2 linked regions of the Neodiprion lecontei genome follow. Each later gene encodes a partner of the first gene's protein in a complex. Links are inferred from orthologs where the notes say so. Each region holds a gene or a part of one and is shown on either strand. Other genes may lie near its edges.

The links. The genes of interacting proteins can lie anywhere in the genome.
Region 2: AT-rich interactive domain-containing protein 2 (region 1) and protein polybromo-1 share a complex: the UniProt entries of both Homo sapiens proteins name them as parts of the SWI/SNF-B (PBAF) chromatin remodeling complex. The link is inferred for Neodiprion lecontei from reciprocal best matches to the Homo sapiens genes ARID2 and PBRM1.

The regions. Positions count from the first base shown.
Region 1 is NC_060265.1:5,613,316-5,623,741, forward strand, and holds the start of AT-rich interactive domain-containing protein 2, read right to left. Parts: upstream 6,720-10,426; 5' UTR 5,329-6,719; coding exon 5,237-5,328; intron 3,469-5,236; coding exon 3,375-3,468; intron 1-3,374. Other genes in the region: zinc finger protein 593 homolog, read left to right, coding at 7,381-7,470, 7,623-7,723, 7,823-8,087; serine--tRNA synthetase-like protein Slimp, read left to right, coding at 8,172-9,584. UniProt on the Homo sapiens protein: Involved in transcriptional activation and repression of select genes by chromatin remodeling (alteration of DNA-nucleosome topology). Required for the stability of the SWI/SNF chromatin remodeling complex SWI/SNF-B (PBAF).
Region 2 is NC_060265.1:21,310,380-21,321,156, reverse strand, and holds the start of protein polybromo-1, read right to left. Parts: upstream 5,495-10,777; 5' UTR 5,380-5,494; intron 5,128-5,379; 5' UTR 5,118-5,127; coding exon 5,013-5,117; intron 4,581-5,012; coding exon 4,335-4,580; intron 4,131-4,334; coding exon 4,002-4,130; intron 3,934-4,001; coding exon 3,754-3,933; intron 3,548-3,753; coding exon 3,103-3,547; intron 2,926-3,102; coding exon 2,813-2,925; intron 2,665-2,812; coding exon 2,566-2,664; intron 2,499-2,565; coding exon 2,436-2,498; intron 2,258-2,435; coding exon 2,105-2,257; intron 2,035-2,104; coding exon 1,867-2,034; intron 1,156-1,866; coding exon 989-1,155; intron 857-988; coding exon 562-856; intron 480-561; coding exon 274-479; intron 128-273; coding exon 1-127. Other genes in the region: uncharacterized protein LOC124295063, read right to left, coding at 6,864-8,660. UniProt on the Homo sapiens protein: Involved in transcriptional activation and repression of select genes by chromatin remodeling (alteration of DNA-nucleosome topology). Required for the stability of the SWI/SNF chromatin remodeling complex SWI/SNF-B (PBAF).

The sequences.
Region 1 (10,426 bases):
TCGTAAAATTCGCATCAGGTATTTGCGGGGAGACGAATAAGAGAGGGCGAATTTTGCACGACGAGTTTAGACGAGATTATTATTCCCCTTGCTGCGACGGAACACGTTTAGGGCGAGATGAAGAGTAAAAAAAAGGAGAAAAAAAAAAGAATTGAAGAAAAATCGAGCGAGGTGGTGCACGATAAGAAAAAAAGATCCGGGAAAGTGACTTCCCTTCTTCGGTTAATAACCAAGAGAAGAATACTAGGCGCCGCGACGCACACTTGTTGACGGTTAAAGCCTTCGGCTACCGTCGGCCACCGTCTACTCCTCTACATCCCTTCCTCTTCTTCACCACCGCTGATCTATGCCCCCCTACCCCGCGTCCGCGCAACGCGACCCTGACCTTGCGCCACTTCCGCGTTATCCTTACGTTAATAATGTTTTAGTAGGTCTGCTCCTCCACCTCCACCTCTTCCTTCTCCTTGTCCTCCTCCTCCTACCGGCCGCCATCGGCGATCCCGGAAATGGAAAAAACGTAGAGAAACAAAAAGAAATTATCGTGTATTTCGCACAGGCTAGGCGAGCAGGAACGGAAGTTTGCTTCTTGTAACGGTGTCCTTGGGACGGCGCAGGATACAACAAGAATATCAACAACACACGTGTGGGCGGTTTATCTCTGTACAGGGTCGGTGATACGCCGTCAATGCAACAAGAAAAGTTAGCTGACCGCTGCTACTGATTCACGATACTTGCATAAACAATCTGCATTTTCCCCGACGGCTGGAAGGTTTCAATTTGGTTCGGTGGATTTCTCCCATGCAGCGTTTCCGACGTAACAATAACGCATGTCTGTACATTGCGTACGGATACAATATGTTCGCACGTTACGCGGTGAACTGTGACAGAAACAAGAAAGAGAGGGAGAGGGAGAGAAAGAGAGTCGATCGTGGTACCCGTACGGTAGTTTCTTCGACAGGATAAAAAAAAAGGGAAAAAAGAGAGAAAAAAAAACGACAGGGCTAATCCGTGTGTACGAGGCTACTGTCTTCTTTGCACGCCCGCCGGTAAAGAAGAATGCCATACGTAGATATACTTGTGACACGTGAGGCACGCGTGTACGACACCGTCGTCGCAGGGTTAGTAACCCTCGGGGGGTCTCTGCCGCCTCAGTTCCGTGAGCGTTGCTTCTCCGTTAATTCCGTTCTGTGCCATTTATCGCGTTTCACCGCGTGGACTCTCATTCCTATTCCTATTCCTCCTCCTCCTGCCGGCACCTTTCGCCGAGTGTCAACTCGCCACGCGACCAGGCGCCGAATATCGAGGGTATAAGGGGCGGGTAGGGGAGGGTAGGGAGCGAGCAGAGTAGAAGAGAGTTCGATGGTGACTCTTCGGTGTGTCGTATTACGTCAGGAAGGCTGCCGGCCGGCCGGCGGACGACATTCGACGACCGAGTGCTGCTGCATGTCGCATCGGGACACCAGAGGCGACGGTGGTTGCGCGGAGGTTCCGATTGACGCGCGAAGTTCACTCGCGGAACTCGCCACGCGGACCTGGTCCTCTCCTCTCCTCTCCTCTCCTCTCCTCTCCTCTCCTCTCCTCTCCTCTCCTCTCCTCTCCTCTCCTCTCCTCTCCTCTCCTCTCCGCGCCTCTCTTCTTCGCGCCTCTCGGCGCCTCGCCGGAAGCAGCGCGGCAAGTTCAAGGAACCGTCGTGCACTTCGAGGGCGGGGGAGGGGGAGCGAAAGGTGATGTATGTATGTATGTATGTACCATGCATACGTATCGGGAAGTCTCACCGCGATGCGATAATGTGCGAGAATTTTATGCTTTTCCAAGTATGCGTTCAGTATACGACGGACCGCCGGATATTATTGTACGGAGGTGGTTTTTCTTTCAACGGGTTGTTGATTTGATGATGTATTAAAAATGTGAAACATAATACACCCCGGAAGTACCTGTAAGACGAAAAAGTAGAAAAGGAAAGTGTAGTTGCGACTTTTTTTTTCACCACGCAAGCAGTTAATAAGTAAATGTGCGTATGCCGATATACCGCGTGGAAACGTTAAACGATACATTGTGCGTAATCCGATTTTTTGTAAAAGTCCATTCTGGTTCGGTTGAGGATTTTATTGTACCCACATAGCGCATATTCTATTGTATAATATATAGACGTAGTTGATGCTGTGGTTCGTTACACGAACTGAAACTGGCAGGAAGTACGAGTCGCATGCTCGACTCGGGAAGAAAGTGTTTTTCCGAGCGTATAATAATTTTTGCCTAAGGAAAAGTTATTCTCTTTCTTTTTTCTTTATCGTTCTTCTAACATAACGTAACAGTCATTTGCTTCTCGTAATTACGATAATTGGAAAAACAATTTTCCAATAATTTATAGCCGTTTTCGTTATTACAGCATTGAGGATTATCGTCGGTTAGTTCGTTTTAAATTCGGAGCAATTACCCCGGCATCGTTTTCAGACGCGCATCGTCTGCACGTTTGTTTATATACTTTACTTTTCTCCCGCTTTACGAGGTTTTATCTCCACTGCGCGGTCAATGAATGGACCGACGAAAGCCCCGCTTGTCACATTATTGTTGCAAGTTGAAAACCTCACATTCCTCATTATCATTTCACACATTTGAAACCGAGAGAGAACCTTGAACGGACTTCATTATCAGCGTCATCGTTATACCGCAGAGTAGTTGACGCGATATTTATTTCGATCCACAACATTTATGCACACGTTTTTTGTTATTTGATATTTACTTTTCACACTGCGCCTACGTCAATGATGAATTAATTATTCTGTATTCCCGAGAGCGCGGGTTGTAAATATACGTATAACAAACGTGTACCTAATGCTTGACGTGAAAGTTTGACTCCTCGCAGGCAGCAGATTGCAGAAGAGAAAAGGAAGACGGCAGAAAAAAAAAAATGGTAATACGAAGAAAAGAAAAAGCGCGGAAGGTGCGGAAAGAGAAAAAGTACTCTGTTCAAGATTCTCGAGGGTCTTAAGACGCCCCCTTCATCATTCGCGCGGTCGTCAAAGCGAGCACTCGCTTCTTCTCTTACAGCTTATATCGTACTGCCTGCAATTTTGTCCAACCAACATCGAACGGACCGTTTTCACCGGAAATTGCGCACACGTGCGAGTTCAAAAGCGTCGAAAACTAAAATTTAACTACAGCAAATTTTTCGCTGTTCTCACGTCACAAGTTCCCATTGGTAGTAAAACTTTTCTCACGGTGTTTCTCATACCGTTACTCAATTTTTGAGGAGCCTGCAGTGTTGGAGCTATAATTTTCCGACTGTGCATTTATGCCTACACCCGAAAATTCGTTATTCGTATGAAAAGTGTTTAAAGTGGTTAGAGAGGCTGAAGAGTTATTGAACTGACCTTGATCCATCCTCCGTGGGCGGTAACCAGCACGTATAACAAGTACAAGTCTATCTCGTTCCCGCTGATTTTCGGTGGCCTCCTGAAGGGTGTTCTGAAATGTATAATAAAATCGGTGAGAAAACTGTAGCCATCTTTTTTGAGCAACGAATTTGGAAAGGTGATTCCACTGTTGCGAGCTTCGGGAATAAGTAACGTGCAAATTTACGGATAGCGTTGCAGCCGATTTCACCTGCACGACATGACAAACTATGTCAATTTATGGGTAGAGAAAAGAGAGGAGAGAAAGAAAAAAAAAACCTCCTTATTTGTATTCCAACCGCGTTCGCTGCTCCCGACGATGATGACGAGACTTTGCGCGACACCGCGTCATGTATTGTACGATGTTTGTGATACATGTGGGCAGTGGGCACAAACTACATGCGTATGTACGCACCTACGTAGATACGTACATTACGTTGAACATGTGCTGCTGTACTCTGTGCGAGGAACGGCATAGAAATGAAACTTACGTTAGTAATCATGGAGAGAACGATTACTCGCTAAAAATTAAACGCAACATCACACACGCGGGTTGTTCCAGATAGATTCGCGGACTTTACCGATACGTATAATAATGCGAATGTCAAGGATCACGCGGCAACGAAATTAGCAGCAAGTTGCCAGAAAAAATCCCGAGTACGATTACATCAGTGAGACGCGTGAGACGGTATAGGCAGCAAGTCTGCTCTTTTTCACTTCCCTCGGTGTTCTTCTTTATTTGCGAAAGTAATTCCTAGAAAAAAAAAATGAGAAAGAACCCAACAAACGTTTTCGATTCAAGAAACAGACTTCACTCGGTGTGAGGCTTAGGCCTAAGGTGTGGATAGATCATACATTATACGAATAACGGTAATGAAAGGAAAAATTGATCCATTTGGGGGAAGAGGATCGATTTGTGGTCTGCACTTGTTGCGAGTGGAGATTCAAGAAGAGTGGACGGCTGATGTTGAATATCAGATAATGAATGGGTCGTATTTTATGACTGTAAGCAAATAAGAATTAAACTAAGAAACGCAGAATCCTAGGTAACTTGGCTGATTACGGTAATTATTCAATGAAAATATAAACGAAACAGCTCAATTCGTGTAAATTGAGTCCCTCGTCGTTAGAAGGGATTTGGAACCGAACAACCTCGTTACTTATCTTAAACAACCATAGTACTACTTATATAACCGTATAGTACAACTGCGGTTAGGATAAATGCAACCGAATATGGTATGAGATATTTTACTTGAGATTTACGACGATGAATGATAAGAGGTGATGAATAAAGTACTTTCATACATAAATGTTAATTACAAGTGAATTGAAAGAATTTCTTTTTGATAAACTCCGAGGATGTGTTGGAGGATACTACCAACAATGAGGTTGAAGGAACTGGAGGGACAATCTTTGTCATGTGATGGAAAGAAAGATTACCGCGATATTAATTGTTGCGTATTTTTTTTTTTGCGTGTCAAAGAAGACGCTAAGATCTACACAGTGAACAAAAATGCACGGTGTGATAATTAAACTAACAATATAACGTGTGAATTGTAAACAGAAAGCTTCCATAAAAAAAATTCCGTACAGTTATAGGTGTACCGAATCTACTGACGGTATTAGATGTTTCTTGCCTGATCAGGTTGATAAAATGAAATTTCACGGATTTCGGTTGAACGGTGAGTGGAAGCCCAATTAAAGAAGATAATCAGCGGCACTGCGTAAGATAATTAACTACAGACTATAAATAATAAAGAAAAACAAGAATGACATAAATGAGCGAGGAGGAGAATTAGGCGAGAGGGAAACGAACGATGAATGAACGAGTGGATTCTTACCCGCGAGTCTCGTGAAAATGATGAAGTCCCTTGATGAACCCGTCACGCTCCCGCTGATAGGTGACAGGGTCCTTGTTGAGGAATTTGGCCATGTTAAGGAGCGCGTGGGCGTATTAATTAAGGATCGCGCTAGGTTTACGCGAGCACATGTGCCGCGGGGGGGCATTTACGCCAGGGTTGCAATAACCCCCGACGCAATTACTCTCCTTACTTCCAGGTGTACCCTCGTCGACGTTCTCGTCGCAGCTAGATGTCTCGGCCTGAGATGATTTCGAGCCGCGGCGGCAAACATCGGACTTGTAGTTTTACGGGCGTTGGGAAGAACCCGAATATCGTTGTCTTTTTTAAAATCGCGAACACAGGATGACGAGGGGCGAGAAAAAGGGAGATGGAGAGAGAAAGAACCGGGGAAAGCCGGAGGGATGTGTGTGTATATATATATATATGAGTGTATGTATGTGTGCGTGTCGTGTGTTAAGTTAGGTCCGAGTGCGTATACGTATACGTATACACGTATGAATAAGGAGATGGGAAGAATCCGCGTTGCAAATGCAGACACACAGAGGGACAGAGAGAGAAGTAGCGAAGGAGAGAGAGAGAGAGAGAGAGAGAGATTGCCAAGTATCGCCGAATATTTGTCCTCTTTCCTCGTTATCCGATCGAAGAACAATAAGAACGATAGGCGATAGGTCCTCCCGAGCCCTCGGGAACCGGTCGCGGGGCAACAAAAACACACACGCGGGATTCTCACAGTGGCAACTGTTCGGAGATGCGGGATATACGCAAGCCACACACGCGACTGTACGGCGAGGCAAGGCGAGGCGAGACGAGGCGAGGCGAGGCGAGGCGAGGCGCAAGCAAGGATGCCCCTTGCTGCTTGCTAACCAAGAAAGTCCAATCTCTCTAGCGGGAAAACGCTTGGCGATCCAAGGGAGCTCCGCTCCTCGTAGTCGGTGCCTCGTTATCGAGTACCGTACGCGAGTTCGCGTAGACCGGACACTCCACTGGCAGTACGCCACTAGCAAGCCGCGATTACGGGACTTGCAATCATCGATTCACCTGTCACTTGTCACTTAACGCACTATGTACACCGTCCCGCCGCCTCGTACGCGGCACCGAACTCTGCGTAATCCTCGAAAAAACTCCCCTCGCGATGCCAGAAAATGTACGCGCGCACGGGAACCCTTCTTTACCGCGTTTCTGGCTCCGATGCCTGACGTACCCGACCGTATATCAAAATGGCGTCCCTTACGACTGGCATCCATTCGATTCGCCTCGCGGAATTCACCTACGAGATCAGGATCGACGGTTCAATCGCACTCTTGCTAACCGTAGCCGGCGAGACCCTCACCTGTATTTAACTCATTTTATACACCCTCGAGCCACGGTACCAGCGTACTTTGGTGATTATACGATACGTACGTTTACCAAAATCCCCGGTCATGGAATATTTTTACTTTCAAAATGGATGGATGGATGGTAAGGCTTAGGCTCTCCACCAGTAGCGGATGTTTGAATTTCGTATCGTCTCACCGCCAGGGGCGTACCGTTCGGCATTGCCCTGTGTCTCCATCTTGTCCACGCTGCGCCAACTATCGATACTCTCCTTTATTCCAGATACCTGCCTGCGGGTATTGTGAAACAAACTACGAGCGGTATTTTCGAGTAGACTGACTTTTTCACACATTTTACGTAAAACGAGTAACAAAAATTTAGAAATATTATGTTTTCCCATATTCGTTAACATACGCGTATCGTATCCTCTATAATATCCCACTACGGGACGCCGTTATTATTCAAAACTTAATTAACGTTGTAATTCTTACCGTTCTTCACAAATACCGAACGGTCTAGAACATTTTCTCCGTTCTTGTTTTCGTACGTCCCGCCACGCCTTGCTCCGGAACCCGAGGTTAAGTTTCTCTGTAAAATATAACGGAACGACACTGTTTCGTCATTTCGAACGTGAGCGCCTTTTACAATCGCACGGAGAAATAATCGCAACAATTGTCGACCAACGCGGACGAACTCGAGCATGTATCAACGGGATACGATTTATCAAACACAAGACGATCGAATTTTACCACTCGTAGAAAAGTTAACCTCTGTGTTCGTTATTTAATTATTGACACGTTAGCGGAAAGATGACTTACAAACGTAGAAAATATCACAAGGGAGATACACATCTGAAAAAAGGATGGAGGACTAAACGACGAACGAAAGATCTTGACGAGGTGAGATTCGATGTTTTTTTTTCTGCGAACTGAATACACGCGGCGCGCCTCACGCCACCACGTGGCCGGTTATTGTTATCATCGTTCTTGGTTGGATTTCGATTTTTTACCACTTAATTTAACGGTTCACATGTCGCGTGATTGAATTGCAGATCAACGAGGACATCAAGGATGAATATGCTCCCGCATTATTGAACCAGGAAGTGGATTTGGACAAGCCGGGTGCGGCTCAGCACTACTGCCTACATTGCGCGTTAGTATTTTCAACATGACATAACCTCATCTAACCTATCCTGGTTCATCTTCCGAAGGATTTTCAGTATTGTAGAAATTAATTACTACTCTTTTGCAGGAGGTACTTTATCGACAACAAGGCACTCCTCGATCACTTTACCACCAAAGTTCACAAGCGCAGACTCAAGGCCTTAGAACTGGAGCCGTACACAATTGAAGACTCTGAAAGAGCTGCTGGTAAAGGAAATTACGTTCTGCCGAGGAAGCGAAAGATCGAGACACAGCCGGGGAAAGATGCGGACAAAATTGAGGTCGACGATGACGATGTCGATGCGGCGCCAGCTACAAAAATAACAAGAACCGAAGATAACACTCTGGCATAAGGGAAAACCGTAGAACATAGGTAGACATTAAATAAAGAGGTTCACACTAAATATAGGTCCAGATAATTTAACATTTTCTGCAACATGGCGAATGTTGGTATAAGACTGTTGAGCATGAAACATGTCTTCTTTCTGGGACGCTTGTCACTGAATCTTAACGTGCGCACTTATGTTTCGGCACTCTTTGTATCTGGCAAAAGGGCTAGCGAATCGTTTGCGATTCTGTCCCCCTATCTCGACTTTGACGAGCGATTTTCAGACATGGATAAGTTGAAAAACGAGTTGAAATTGCGCGCTCTTGATGTCGATGCTGAAAGTGTGAAAAATTCATGGGATTTATACAAAAGTGTCATTTCAAATCGGGATGCATTGGAGCAGAAGAGAATTGACACAGCTAGTCAGATAAAAGGTCTAAACACAAGTAATGCCGAATCTGTAGACAATGAAGAAATTACCCGACTGAAAACAGTGGGCAAAGTATTAAGGGAGGATTTGAAAGTAGTCAGGGAAATCCTGTGGGAGCTTGAGGATTCCGTGATTCCAAAAATTCTGAAACTACCCAACGTTCTGCACAAAGACACGCCAGCTTTTGATCCGGTTATTTTGTATTCTTACGGAAACCTTAATCCCGGTGAGAATTCAAGTTGCTCGAGTAGCCACATTGATATTGGCAGGAGGTTGGGATTGCTGGAGTATTCAAGCCCTATGAATTACTATCTGCACAACGAGGCAGCCCTCTTTGAACTGGCCGTACTTCGATTAGCTGCCGATGAGTTTGTCCATGATAACACGATGCGGGTCACAGGTTTGGATTTTGCTCGCAGTATAATTGTAGAAGCTACTGGGCTGGACCATGAGAGCCCCGAAGATTCGTTCATCCTTCAAGATAATGAGGAAGTCGAAAAACATTCGGTTAATCGCATGCACCTTATCGGAGGTGCCAGTCTGCCTTCCTTCCTTGCAATGCATACCAAGCAGTTGATTAATCCGAAATACTTTCCGCTGAGGTATTTTGCCAGCGGTAGGCAGTACGTACCTTTTAATAGCCGTTTGCGGGAGGCTGGAATGTTCACAGTTTGTCAGTCATCTGTGGCAGAAGTTTTTGCTATGGTCAAAGACTCGAAGAGCAGTGAATACGCGGAGGAGTTTGAGAGGATCCTTGACTCCGCAAAGCTGTTATACAACAGCCTTTGCAATCATTACCGAATCGTAGTTAGACCAGCCAGAGATTTGAGGCCATGGGAAAGTTTGAGAGTATCGTTTGAGCTGTGGTCTCCTTATTCGAATGATTACATCGAAGTTGGCCACCTTTCTCTCTGTGGAGAATATCTTAGTAAGCGATTATTAATCAGTTGTCAAACTCATTACGGCAGAACTTTTCCTTCTATTATTTCTGGAACTATACTATCTGTACCAAGACTTCTGGGATGCCTACTCGAGGAGTCTCCAGAAGAGTTTGTCGTCCCAGACAAAGTGCGAGAATATATGCCTGCATAAAATTTTGTCAAACTGAGTTTACTTTGAAAATGAGATTTTCTGTATAAATTGTATTATAGTAAATAAAAAACAAAGAAAACAACAAATGACTACAAAACTCAGTAGTCTACGTCTTGCATTTTACTTATGGCTGATTTATACTGTTACAACCTTTTACGTTCAGATGGAAAATATGAGATTATGGCAAATCTAGAACTCTGGTGTATATTCTAACAATTTTATGAATTTTAATGCGTCAAGTATCCGAGCTGGTAGAGAAACATTTCTTTAAATTTTTTAATTATATATAGACTTTTGTTTAGTAATAATATCTCTTTCCACTTTATTCATACCATTAATCGAGCACTCGAGTTTTTCGCGATTGAGCTGTTGTCAGCTCGAAGAGCACGATTTTTAGATATTTATCGACCCGAAAGTTTTCTACTTTAGAATGTTTGTAATGTACCATAACCGATGGTACATGGCACGCTACGTTCAATTGTAATCGGTATATTATTACGACTCTGTCAGATCTGTCGGCTGCAATTAGTTATAGCCGTAAGAAAAGGTTAAACTATTTAACAATTTTTTGCCAATATTTAGACAGTACTTTATCAGGAGAATATAACTGTACGAGGAAAGAATGGATCCGAGAGATAAATCGAAACCTGTCCTCCCAAAGCGAGGATATTACTCGGAGGTGATCACAGGCGAGTAGTGACCGAATAGCTTAGTCGGGCAGCCAACTTCTCTTATCGATTTCACAATATCCGATTTTCAGGGACTACCGAACACCCGGTGCAACCCAGGTTGAAACTTCACGCCGGAGCAGCGCGCAGAACTAAACTTGCCTGGCAAGTTAG
Region 2 (10,777 bases), about 16 Mb from region 1:
ATCGCTACGGGATAGTCTCCGCGCTCTCTCCAAACACGAAAAGACATCTTCTTGAAATCTATCCAATCGTTTGTAAACTCCTCTATCCAACCGACGCTTTATCAAATCCAAAGATAGCCCTCTCACCCTGTTAAGAAGTACGTTATCAATTCCAAATACTGCAGCATTAAGACAACAATTCAGCTATCTTCCTAATCTACTTCTACGTAGGTTGAATACTTTAATGAAAAAAAAACTGTTAAAGGAAGAACTGTTTATTAAAGTTTTCAATACTTCTTTCCGTCAACCATATCATGCTCAGGGAGTTCAGCCATTGAATCCGAATAGCATCGGCCTTCTTCATCCTGGTGGTTATATAATGCTGTGAATATAGTGGCTAATATTTCTTGGACAGCAGCTGCTACATCAGGAACACTTTCATCATCTTCACTCAGCTGTACTTTAGTTTGGAGCACTAATCGCTGTAGAATCAGTGCATCCTGTACCATAAGTGATTTAGTTAACAAAGGAAAATTGAATATGAAAAATAAGAATATAATAACAGATACAAAATGCTCAAACCTTGTAAATCTGAGAGTCCGGTTCATTATACTTGCAAGCATTGTCAAACATGAGAATGAAATCTGATACTAAGTCATCCAGATTATCATATCCATTATTTTTTAAAGATGAGGCAATCTTTTCCATGTTCATTGGTTGTTTGATAACTTCATAGTAATCAGGATACTCATTTTTATTTGGAAGTTTCATGAATATTTGGGACAACTGTCTGCCCTTAGCATCGTGATAGTCTTTTATTGTATCGTACATTGTTCGTAATTTTTGCACATGCAACGGTACAACTTTCTTTGGCCTTCTATAAAAACCCAAGAAATATTTTCAACTTTGGAAAAGGATTCCACCATACAATAAAATCATTAGGTATGATAATAAGTAGTAAATTCATTGGTGTGACCTGTTATAGTACAAAATTTCCAAAGCTACTCACCCTACATTCCTTGTCGGTGTAGATGCTGCAGATTTCACTGGTTTAACCAATTCTGGTAAGGGTCCCAGCTCTTTTACTTTATCCATCAAAACCTTTTCCAATACATTTGCATCTTCATATATAAGAGACCCTTCTTCATTATATTGGCGGCAATTATTAAACATCAACTATAAATATCGTTAATGAGCTCTCGCATGTTGTAAGTATTAAAAATTTTATTGAAAATATGTAAATTTGAACTGGTGAATTTGAAAAATTAACGACGGAGCCAGGAATCGAACCTGGTATCTAGCGATGCTTTACCGGAGACTTACTCCACTAGACCACCTAGCCGCCCTGACTCTGTTGTCATTAATTTCTCTCATAACCAGTGAGTTCAAATTTGTTTTCATGTGCCCGATTTGTATGAGTAAGAATTTCTTCTCTGCATGCACGATGTAAGGAGACTGTAGTGTGTAGATGTTATGTTTACCCTTTTTTTGAATCCTTTGCTTCCGATGAGAAGCCCGTAAGACGGCAATGCCGTCTAACAAATGAGATGCGGGTGTGCAAATCATTAATCTACGAGAGAATTTTGTTGAAAATATGTAAATTTGAACAACTGGTGAATTTGAAAAATTAACGACGGAGCCAGGAATCGAACCTGGTATCTAGCGATGCTAGACCGCATCTCATTTATTAGACGGCATTGCCGTCTTACGGGCTTCTCATCGGAAGCAAAGGATTCAAAAAAAGGGTAAACATAACATCTACACACTACAGTCTCCTTACATCGTGCATGCAGAGAAGAAATTCTTACTCATTAAAAATTTTACTTTGAATATTTACGTGAAACGAAAGTAACTGCTAATACAACGTGTAAATAGCGTATTGCTCACCTTGAAATCCGCAATTAATTCGTTTTCATTCTGATACTTTTCAGCCTTGATATTTGCTTCAATACCCAACATATCAATGGGCTCCTGAATAATTTGATAATAATCTGGATATAATTTTTTTGATGGTTTTTCCATAAACATAAGCATAGGCTGCCTACCATCTTCACACTGAAATTTCACCAATCATGTATTACATTAATTGTCAGAAATATGAACACGAGAAATTGGAATTACTTACAACGTATTCCATCACACACTTTACAAGAACATGCAGTCTCTTTTTTAATGGCACATTGTCCTTATATTTTCCCCGAGTCAAAACATTTGATGCACGCTTAATCAGTTTGGGTTGCTGCAAGTTATTCTCTGAATCACTGTCTGATTCTGAATCCTAGAAGAATTGGTTTAAATTATATCAGGTTAACTAGATCTATTTCATAGATGAGATAGAAATTAAAAAATATAAATTTGAAAACAGATTAAATCATCTTTTTCAATTTGGCCAACTATCAACTTACGACTGATTTAAAAAATATGGTTTAATCACAAGAAAAAAAGTTAATTTTTACCTGATCAAATTCAAGAAGTTCCTGTACCTTCTCTTGCATAATTTTCTGTAACTTGGCGGCACACTATGAAAACATATAATTTTATTTCCTGCTTATTTCAATCAAATAGATTTCTGCAATGCAAATTTACCTTATACAAACGAGACGTATGGACGTTATACTTTTTAGCATTTTCAAACATGATATTCATATCACCTGCAACCTCACTGACAGTGCCATATTCCCCCTTCTATGAAAGAAATCCATATATGTATGTAAGTTGAACAAACTAATATGTGTCAGCTCATTTATTGATGTTTTTGCATATCAAATCGTCAGTCGATACATGCATTGGAATTGTAAGAAATGTTCCTTTTACATGGGTTTTTGTATCTCACCTTTATTTTAGTCCGTATTTGATATAGTGATATTGGATTTTTTATTGCTTTGTAATAATCAGGATATAATCGTTTAGATGGTAATTTCCAATAGTATTCACTCATCCGGACGCCTGTAGATCCAAAATAAAATATTGTCTAATTCACCACTTTCACTCATATAAATGAATATCACATACATAAATAAGTTAATTTACTAGCAAAAGATTTTCAATCAAGAAACCTATATTCACAACTCGAGGTTAATTGTTGAAGATATTCTACCTTTATTGAAACAAAACGAAACACACCTTGACTGTTTGGGGCAGTTTTTATGGTCTGAAATAACTGCCACTGTGGATTGTCAGACTCTTCTCCGTCATTAGCTTCCTCCTCTTCGTCATCACTTTCATCTTCATCTTCATCTGCAAGTGCAGCAGTCACTGCTACAAGGGACTGGCCAGCACTTCTTCCTCTTTTACTTCTAGTAGAAGTTGCAGTAGAAGTGAGCTTCGGTACCATACCAGTAGCGCTAGATTCCTGTTTTTTAGCTGCAGAAACGATTATCTTTTTCAACATTTTAGCATCCTTGTATATTTGAGAACCTGGTTCATTAAACTGACAAGCATTGCGACACATGAGCATGAGATCTCTTTCCATTTCAATCAGTCCAGCATACGCTCCTTCTTGAATCCGGCGTGCGATTGTCTTCAAATCCACTGGATTCTCAATTATCTCATAATACTCAGGGTACAGCTGCAAATTAAATTTCACACTATTCAATTTCAGGTAATTTGTGAAGCAGTAAAATGTGTATTTCTATTGCAATTTTCCTGGCGCGTAATGGAACATCACAATTCTCATATTGCAACCACATTCGTTGACTATACAAGAAAATGAAAAATTCAAATAGACATAAAATTTGTAACAACAAAATTGGATTGTTCAGTGAAAATACAAACTTTCTTGGAAGGTTTCAATTGAAATGGAATATGTAGTGGTCTGTTATTGTCTTGTGGATTTGTTGCAGCCATGACCGCAGCAAACAAATCCTCGTATGGTTGCATAGACTCTTCATCAGGGTTGGTAGAGCTTTCAGAAGTGTCCTCAGCGTCATCCTGACGAGTTGTTACTTTCCGTGCCTGATAAAGGACATATTAATATTAAGCTTCTTGTATATATAACTCACGTGTTTTTTGCATTATCTTACCAGTCTGCCAACCTTAAGAATTATTTTCCCCTTTGGTTCAGAATCCTCATATTCTTCCATTATCCGATTTTTAGTATTCAGACATAATTCCCACAATTCCGTTGCATCTTTGTACTCTGGAGAAGTCCGCTAGACAAAATGTCAAAAGTTACCGCATTATTATATGTATATCAATAAACAGGATAAACTGTAACTATGAGCAGTTTTACCTTACGGGCAATCAAAATGTAAATCGATTGCTTAGCTCTAGGTAATAAATCAATCTTTGTTCTAATTCATTGCTTTTAACCATCAAATTCAATTACGAGTTGTTGATTTGGAAAAAATACATACCATGTAAAAAGCTTTAGCGTTATTAACCATAAGTTGAATGTCAGCTGCCAAATCATCCATATCTCGATATTCATCGGTTTTGAGCTTTTGCTGAACTTTCAACAAATCAATTGGATTTGTAACAACTTCGTAATAACCAGGTTCCTGTCTGCGTTTTGGTACGCGAATAAAAGCATCACACAACAGTGTTCCATCTTCTCTTTTTTGATTACGAAGAACATCATAGAGCTGCTGGCAAAGATCACTCTGCAATGATAAATCTCTAATTGAAATTTGGCTAATCCAACCTATAATACAACGGCATCGCATATTCAAACTGGAATCCAACTTTACAAGAAGCAAGATATTAATGGAAAGTGTTGAATGAATACAGCTAAATTCGATGATATAATTACTATAAAGGGAAGCAATATTTCTACCAAGTTGCAAGTATGTCTGTGTGAAAGTTTCACAAAGATATTTCTGTCATTTCATTTGTCTTTCGCAGATGGATCAACTTGCATTTACAAGGTCTCCGAATTTGAAATTATTTTAAGTATATCTTCAGAGCCATATCTACAACAATCTGCCGACCATTGTAATTTTTTTCCCATTCTATTATATTAGTATGAATTGAATCAATAAGTTATTGTTTATAGATTGCGTCCGTAATATCAGAAAATGACAGGGCAATGTTACCGGATCTAATTTTCGTCGTCGTTTCGTTGGTTCCGGTTGTACGTCGTCGGGATCATCCTCAGTACCACGACTTGCAACGGACGAAGTTCGACGGCGTTTATTCATCGTTGTGAGCCTGAAAATCGTAAAGAAATATTGTTTATTTTTACGCCGCATGACGCCATGTTAAATACAGTAGACCATGTACACTATGCATCTTACATTAGATGCAGGAATGTGATCCAAAGCTAGTCGAATTAATGGATTAAAAAAATAACAAAATCAAGCTGAATTTATCGCTCTACACTTACCGGATCCTGAAGTATTGATTTATAACTTAATTGCATGTGGAAGTAAATCTAATGCAACTTTAAGTAACGTTACTTGCCTGAGTTTACAAGGTATACAAATAGAGAGGTGACCACCATGCCTGCCGCAATATCTACTTCCTGATCAGAATCAAGATTTCCTATCCAAGCTCACATCCACGGGATAGATTTGTCGAGCTGCTAGAGACGTGAGAGGAAACCCACTGAAATATTTATAATACATTTCAGTAGTAAAACCGAGGTAGCGGCCATATTACGTTGTGTGCTACATCACGAAAGTTGCGGCCAGACTGTATGAAACTGAATAGAACCACCGTAACGGGAATTCGTAGATTAAAAAAATTGAATAACAAGTTACTGGTATCATTGAATAACCAAGCTAATAACTACATCATTTCACTATTTCCACGTCCGTGGTTCTGATTCTGGGTTTCTGTAGAGTCTAGCCAGTGATGTGGGCCAGTGCTTCGTTAACTAACTAGTGTTGAAAATTGGACAAAAATAACAAGTGTAAAGTTTCGCGCCAACATGCAGTTGAATTACATATGATGACAGCTTTCAGTTCTGAAATTATAAATTCCTGAATTCCACTAAAAGATTGATTGTTTATTCATTTTCAATTGAGTATCAAAATAAGTTGATGCCAAGTAAATTCAATGAGATGTATGTACGTACCATTAAAATTTCAACTTTTATTTGTATAATTCAATACCATTAGCTGAGATTCTAAAAATTTGTGGATACATTAATTTCAAGTTGTAGATTAATGTTTTTACAAATAGGTGTCTGTTTCAATTTACAGCTGTATTAAGTGTCATGATGAAGGATGGTGATTGAAAAAATATTCAGTCACTCAGAAAAAATTCCAGAGTGTAATTTGTGCATTTATTTGAGCTCTTCAACTTTTCAATTGCAACTGAGTTAAGACTACACTCATGTATAGGTGATACTCGAGAATATCGATATGATACGGATTTTATTCATTATTATGAGTATACATAACAATTTCTCTAAACGCAAATTATACTCCTTGCATAGTTACATTTATACAATTTTCATGCATGTCATATACATACAACTAAACTAATTTAACGGTCAATTATTGCACGTAAAAAATACTCATGGCCTTCTAATTGGTTCATATTTAGCTAACAAACGTGTTGAATAAAATTAAAAAGTACAATGCCATAATTATGGAATTGATAATATTACAAAGTCCAACGTTCAAACCGTAAAAGACTTTTCAGTTGCAGTTTTAAATCAAGTGATTATAGAATAATTAGACTGTGTAATTTCATAACTGTCACAGTTTTGAACACTTTGAGGTCACAGAACGTAATTAAATAATTAAAATATAGTGTAATTTTGAAATTAGAATTACATTAGTTACTCTTCAGTGGTAATTCAGTCTCTAAAACATCTTGATCTCGGATTATCCCTCTGGATAAAATCTTTTACTGTTTACAATCAGGCTTTTTTTACCAACATTTCTGGGGTTTAGCTCTCATTGTATCCCAAATAATTTCGCAAACTCAACTTGTCTTTAAGTTTTAGAAATTCCTTTAACAATAATGCTTATGCCAGGAAGGGAGAAAAGTTTTCTCAAATTATTGTAACCCCTCGGACCAGTTGCCTTAAGTATATCCCTAGCCATAACTATATCTGTTTTAGTAAACCTTGGTTTTTTAGACGTCTTGTTAGAATTCCTCAATTGTGTTTCTATAAATCGCTTTTGAATAGTCGATAGATTACTGATACCAAGATATTCTCTTTGCTCGATAGCGGCCAATGTTTGATATCTATTCTTCTGAAATCGAAAAAGCTTTTTCTTTAGGTTGTGGATATAGGACAACATTTCTGTTTCTCTGGACGTAACGTTATGTTGATTAATTCGAAATTGTTTACACAGATTTTCATAATCGGCATACTTTTGTTCAAATCGTATGTCGTCTTTACTACTCTTTTCAGTCAAACCATCAATAACAGGATTATGTTCCTTTGTGCCCTTCACAGCTATTATATTACTCGATGCTGAACAATTGGTTGAATCTTCCAAAAGATCACTGCTTTTCTTTGGACAATAATTACTTTCGGGATTTAGTTGATTATCTAATTTGAAGCTGCTCGTATTTTTATTTTTCACCAAAGTAGTAATTTGGACATCACTCAAACCCCCCATTGCCGAGGTGTTACATTCGAAATCAATTACATCTATTGTGTTAAGTTTTTTCGTTTCCAGTGCATTCGGCAAGTCATTATCATCTTCTTCCGCATTTTTATCTAACAAATAATGAAATGAACTGGTCTCTTTGCTCAAACCTTCAATGTCCAACGGATCTTTTTCCAATACGTCATCGCTATCAAAGTCCCCTTTGTCATAGTGATGATTCAACTTACTGTCATCAAAATGTGAGTCACCTAGTCCGTCTATTTCATCTATAGCACAACTTCTCACATCCACTATTTTTGGCTGCGAAATAAATGAGCTTCTTGACTGAGTTTTCAAAAAATTCAGCTTTGTATCCATTCCCCATTGTTCTAACGGAATTAGTTTAATATTGGTTCCAGTTTGACCAATACTGGCAATATTTTCATATCCTTTCAGGACCAAGTGGACTTGTTTCTTTGGCTTATCATCTGTTATGGTTATCAATTGATCTTCAGCATTTTTCACTCGTGTAACTACCGTTGGTGAAGCTGTCGCAGTATGTTTAGTAGCCACCTGACATGTAGAGCTAGTATTTGTTTTTTGTTTTGATTTCAAAATTTCCTCAAATTTCTCAGCTGCAGCAGCGTTTGCTCCAATTACCTTTTCATCTAGTTTAACCAATTTGTACCCCTTTGACTTCGTATTTTGCTTGGACATTTCATTTCTTAAATTTTTAACACCAATATCTGAAACAATCGGTGAAGTAGAAGCAGAAGCAGGAGTAGGATTGGCAGGACTCAATGTATTTGGACTAATGTTAGAAAATTTTCCAAGCGGAATAAGCTTGCCCATCACTTGACCAACTTCGTTCTTTACAAAAGTTGGTGTTTTTTGGTTCAGCTGATTTATTGGCAAAGCCAGCGGCACTGCTTCGTGATTTCGCTTCAATGAAACAACTCTGCTTTTGTTTTCTCCAGCCTTTATCATAAGCTGACTGTTATCAACTCTAAGCGGTATCGTTCGTTGCTTCATATTCACAGTACCATCTTTCAGCGTGACAGGGGTTGACAAAATGAGTACCCTTTGATTGGGTGACGGTGATTCAGAGTGCTGGCTTTCCTGTTTTTCTACTTGATGAAATTGCAGTGCCTTAGTACTCGGCGGATTCTTAATTGGTGATCTTTGAGCCATTCTAACACTTTACTTTCTAGAAGAGGTGAGGATTCTGCAAAAATAAAGCATACATATTCTAAAAGAACTTTGGAGTTTTCAGTTGAATGTAATAATATAATTCTATCCTTTGCAAGAGTACATTAATATAAAATTCATTTGAAGCATTCTGTAGCTTGCAACATTATGGAGTCACATGTAGGTAGGATTAGATACGCACTGGAAAGTTTGAAATGTTGCTAACCTTAAACGTAGTTACAAATCTAAATGAAATGTAATATAATAACATTCCATTGTTGTTCGTAAAAATGCTTTTTTTTACTTCTTGGGTAATCTGTCAAGCACCTATGGTTAGTTATTTCATTAAATGGCTGTAATCAAATTTAGTTAGCAAAATTAATATGTACAAATAATGTATTCAGTCTTTTCATGAAACGTCCAGTACTACGCGAATTAATTTTGTTCTCTGGTACAAATCGAATCCAACAAAAAATTTACAATTACGTGTTGTCCAGAAGACTTGGGTTGTGTATGGTGGAATTCACCGTAGAGAGCGCGTGCGCATTAAAATCTTCGTTCCGTAAACAGCAAATAAATTCTCAGATAAACTTGTAATGATTTAAGTTTGAATCGTTGATCTAACGTTTTATTATTTATTCGTTAAATATCAACCCAGTGCCTTTTACAACTAATCATTCTCCATCGCGAATGAAACTGCACCGTGCACTCTAATTTGGTACCAGCCAATTACGAAACGACTGCTTCAGCGCGTCGATGAAATGGCTTCGGCTATTGGCTAGGAGGTAGGAATTATTGAGAAAATGGAGCTGTGAAGGGATCCGTGAAGGGATTGGTCGAATATTCTTACCGAAGATCATTTCACCACATTTCCCGTGTGCCATTCGTTTGAAATCATTATTTGACACTCTGATATCAGTGAATATTAAAAAAAAAAGTAAGATATCAGTATTCCGAATATATGATAAGCAACAGTCGCTATAACAGTTACTGGTGGTAGGTTGCTACCACGGTCTTACATACTACTGACCAGTCTGATTTTTAAACTAATTGTCCCCGCGTGTATGACGTCAGTGAATGGAATGATAATGCTGTGTGCAATATGTAGCATTGTTCGTTCGTTGACTGAAGAGTATATTCAGTCAACAGTTTGTTATAGAGCCCATCAATATTTACAATCTAGATCTCACCAAGAAACACTTCTGCAGGTTAAAAGAAATTACTCAAACCGATTAAGATCTACACTCAGTTTTTTCTACCGCTTTTCAGTACCCAAATATTATTCCATGAAATTAATCGGGCCCAATAAAGTTTGAAGTAACATTGAAAACCGATTAATCTACTGAGTTCCTATCTTTCCCAAAATACGTTTGAGCAATCAATATGCGCCGTACGCTCTACACTCATTTGGGTTTTCCCCATTCAGACTCCAGATAGAATCATGGAAACCTACGCAGAACGGCGTTGGGACGTCATGTCACAGTTCTATCAACTTACTTTTTCCCCTTCCAGCTGACACTAGCCGGAACTAATCGTTGCTTCCTTCTCATTGTCAGTCTTACGCATTACCCAGTCTCTCTCTCTCTCGCTCTCTCTCTCTCTCTGTCTCTATCTCTTACTCATTTGCTGTTTCCTGCAGATTATTCCCAGGAATAAATTCATTACGCAGACTGACGACTGAAAATGCCATATGACGAATAAAAACCACGGAATTGTGGCCACATGCTGGATGCATAGCCACAAAGAGAAGAAGGATCGCGGAAATGTGGATACGACTGATCTAAGCTGAATTACCAGTAAAATTTACTGTGAAACAAACACATTAACCGTGAATGTACGAATCAAAAATTACGGCACCACTTGCAACGTTTTTTAATATCTTATTACATGCTGTGTAAGCAACTGTTCTACCACGAGCGTTAGTTGGCGTTAGTCAGATACGTGAAAGGTGAAAGTGATCAAATACTTTTCAGGCTTGAAACGAGTTTTTGATCAATGCAGCTGTGTTGTATTGGAACAAGTATGTTTCTGTATACCGATAGATATTTTTCCAACATTGATTGTGCTCGTAATTACAAACGGTTAATCACTTATCCCAAATGGAGGAAAACAAAACTATG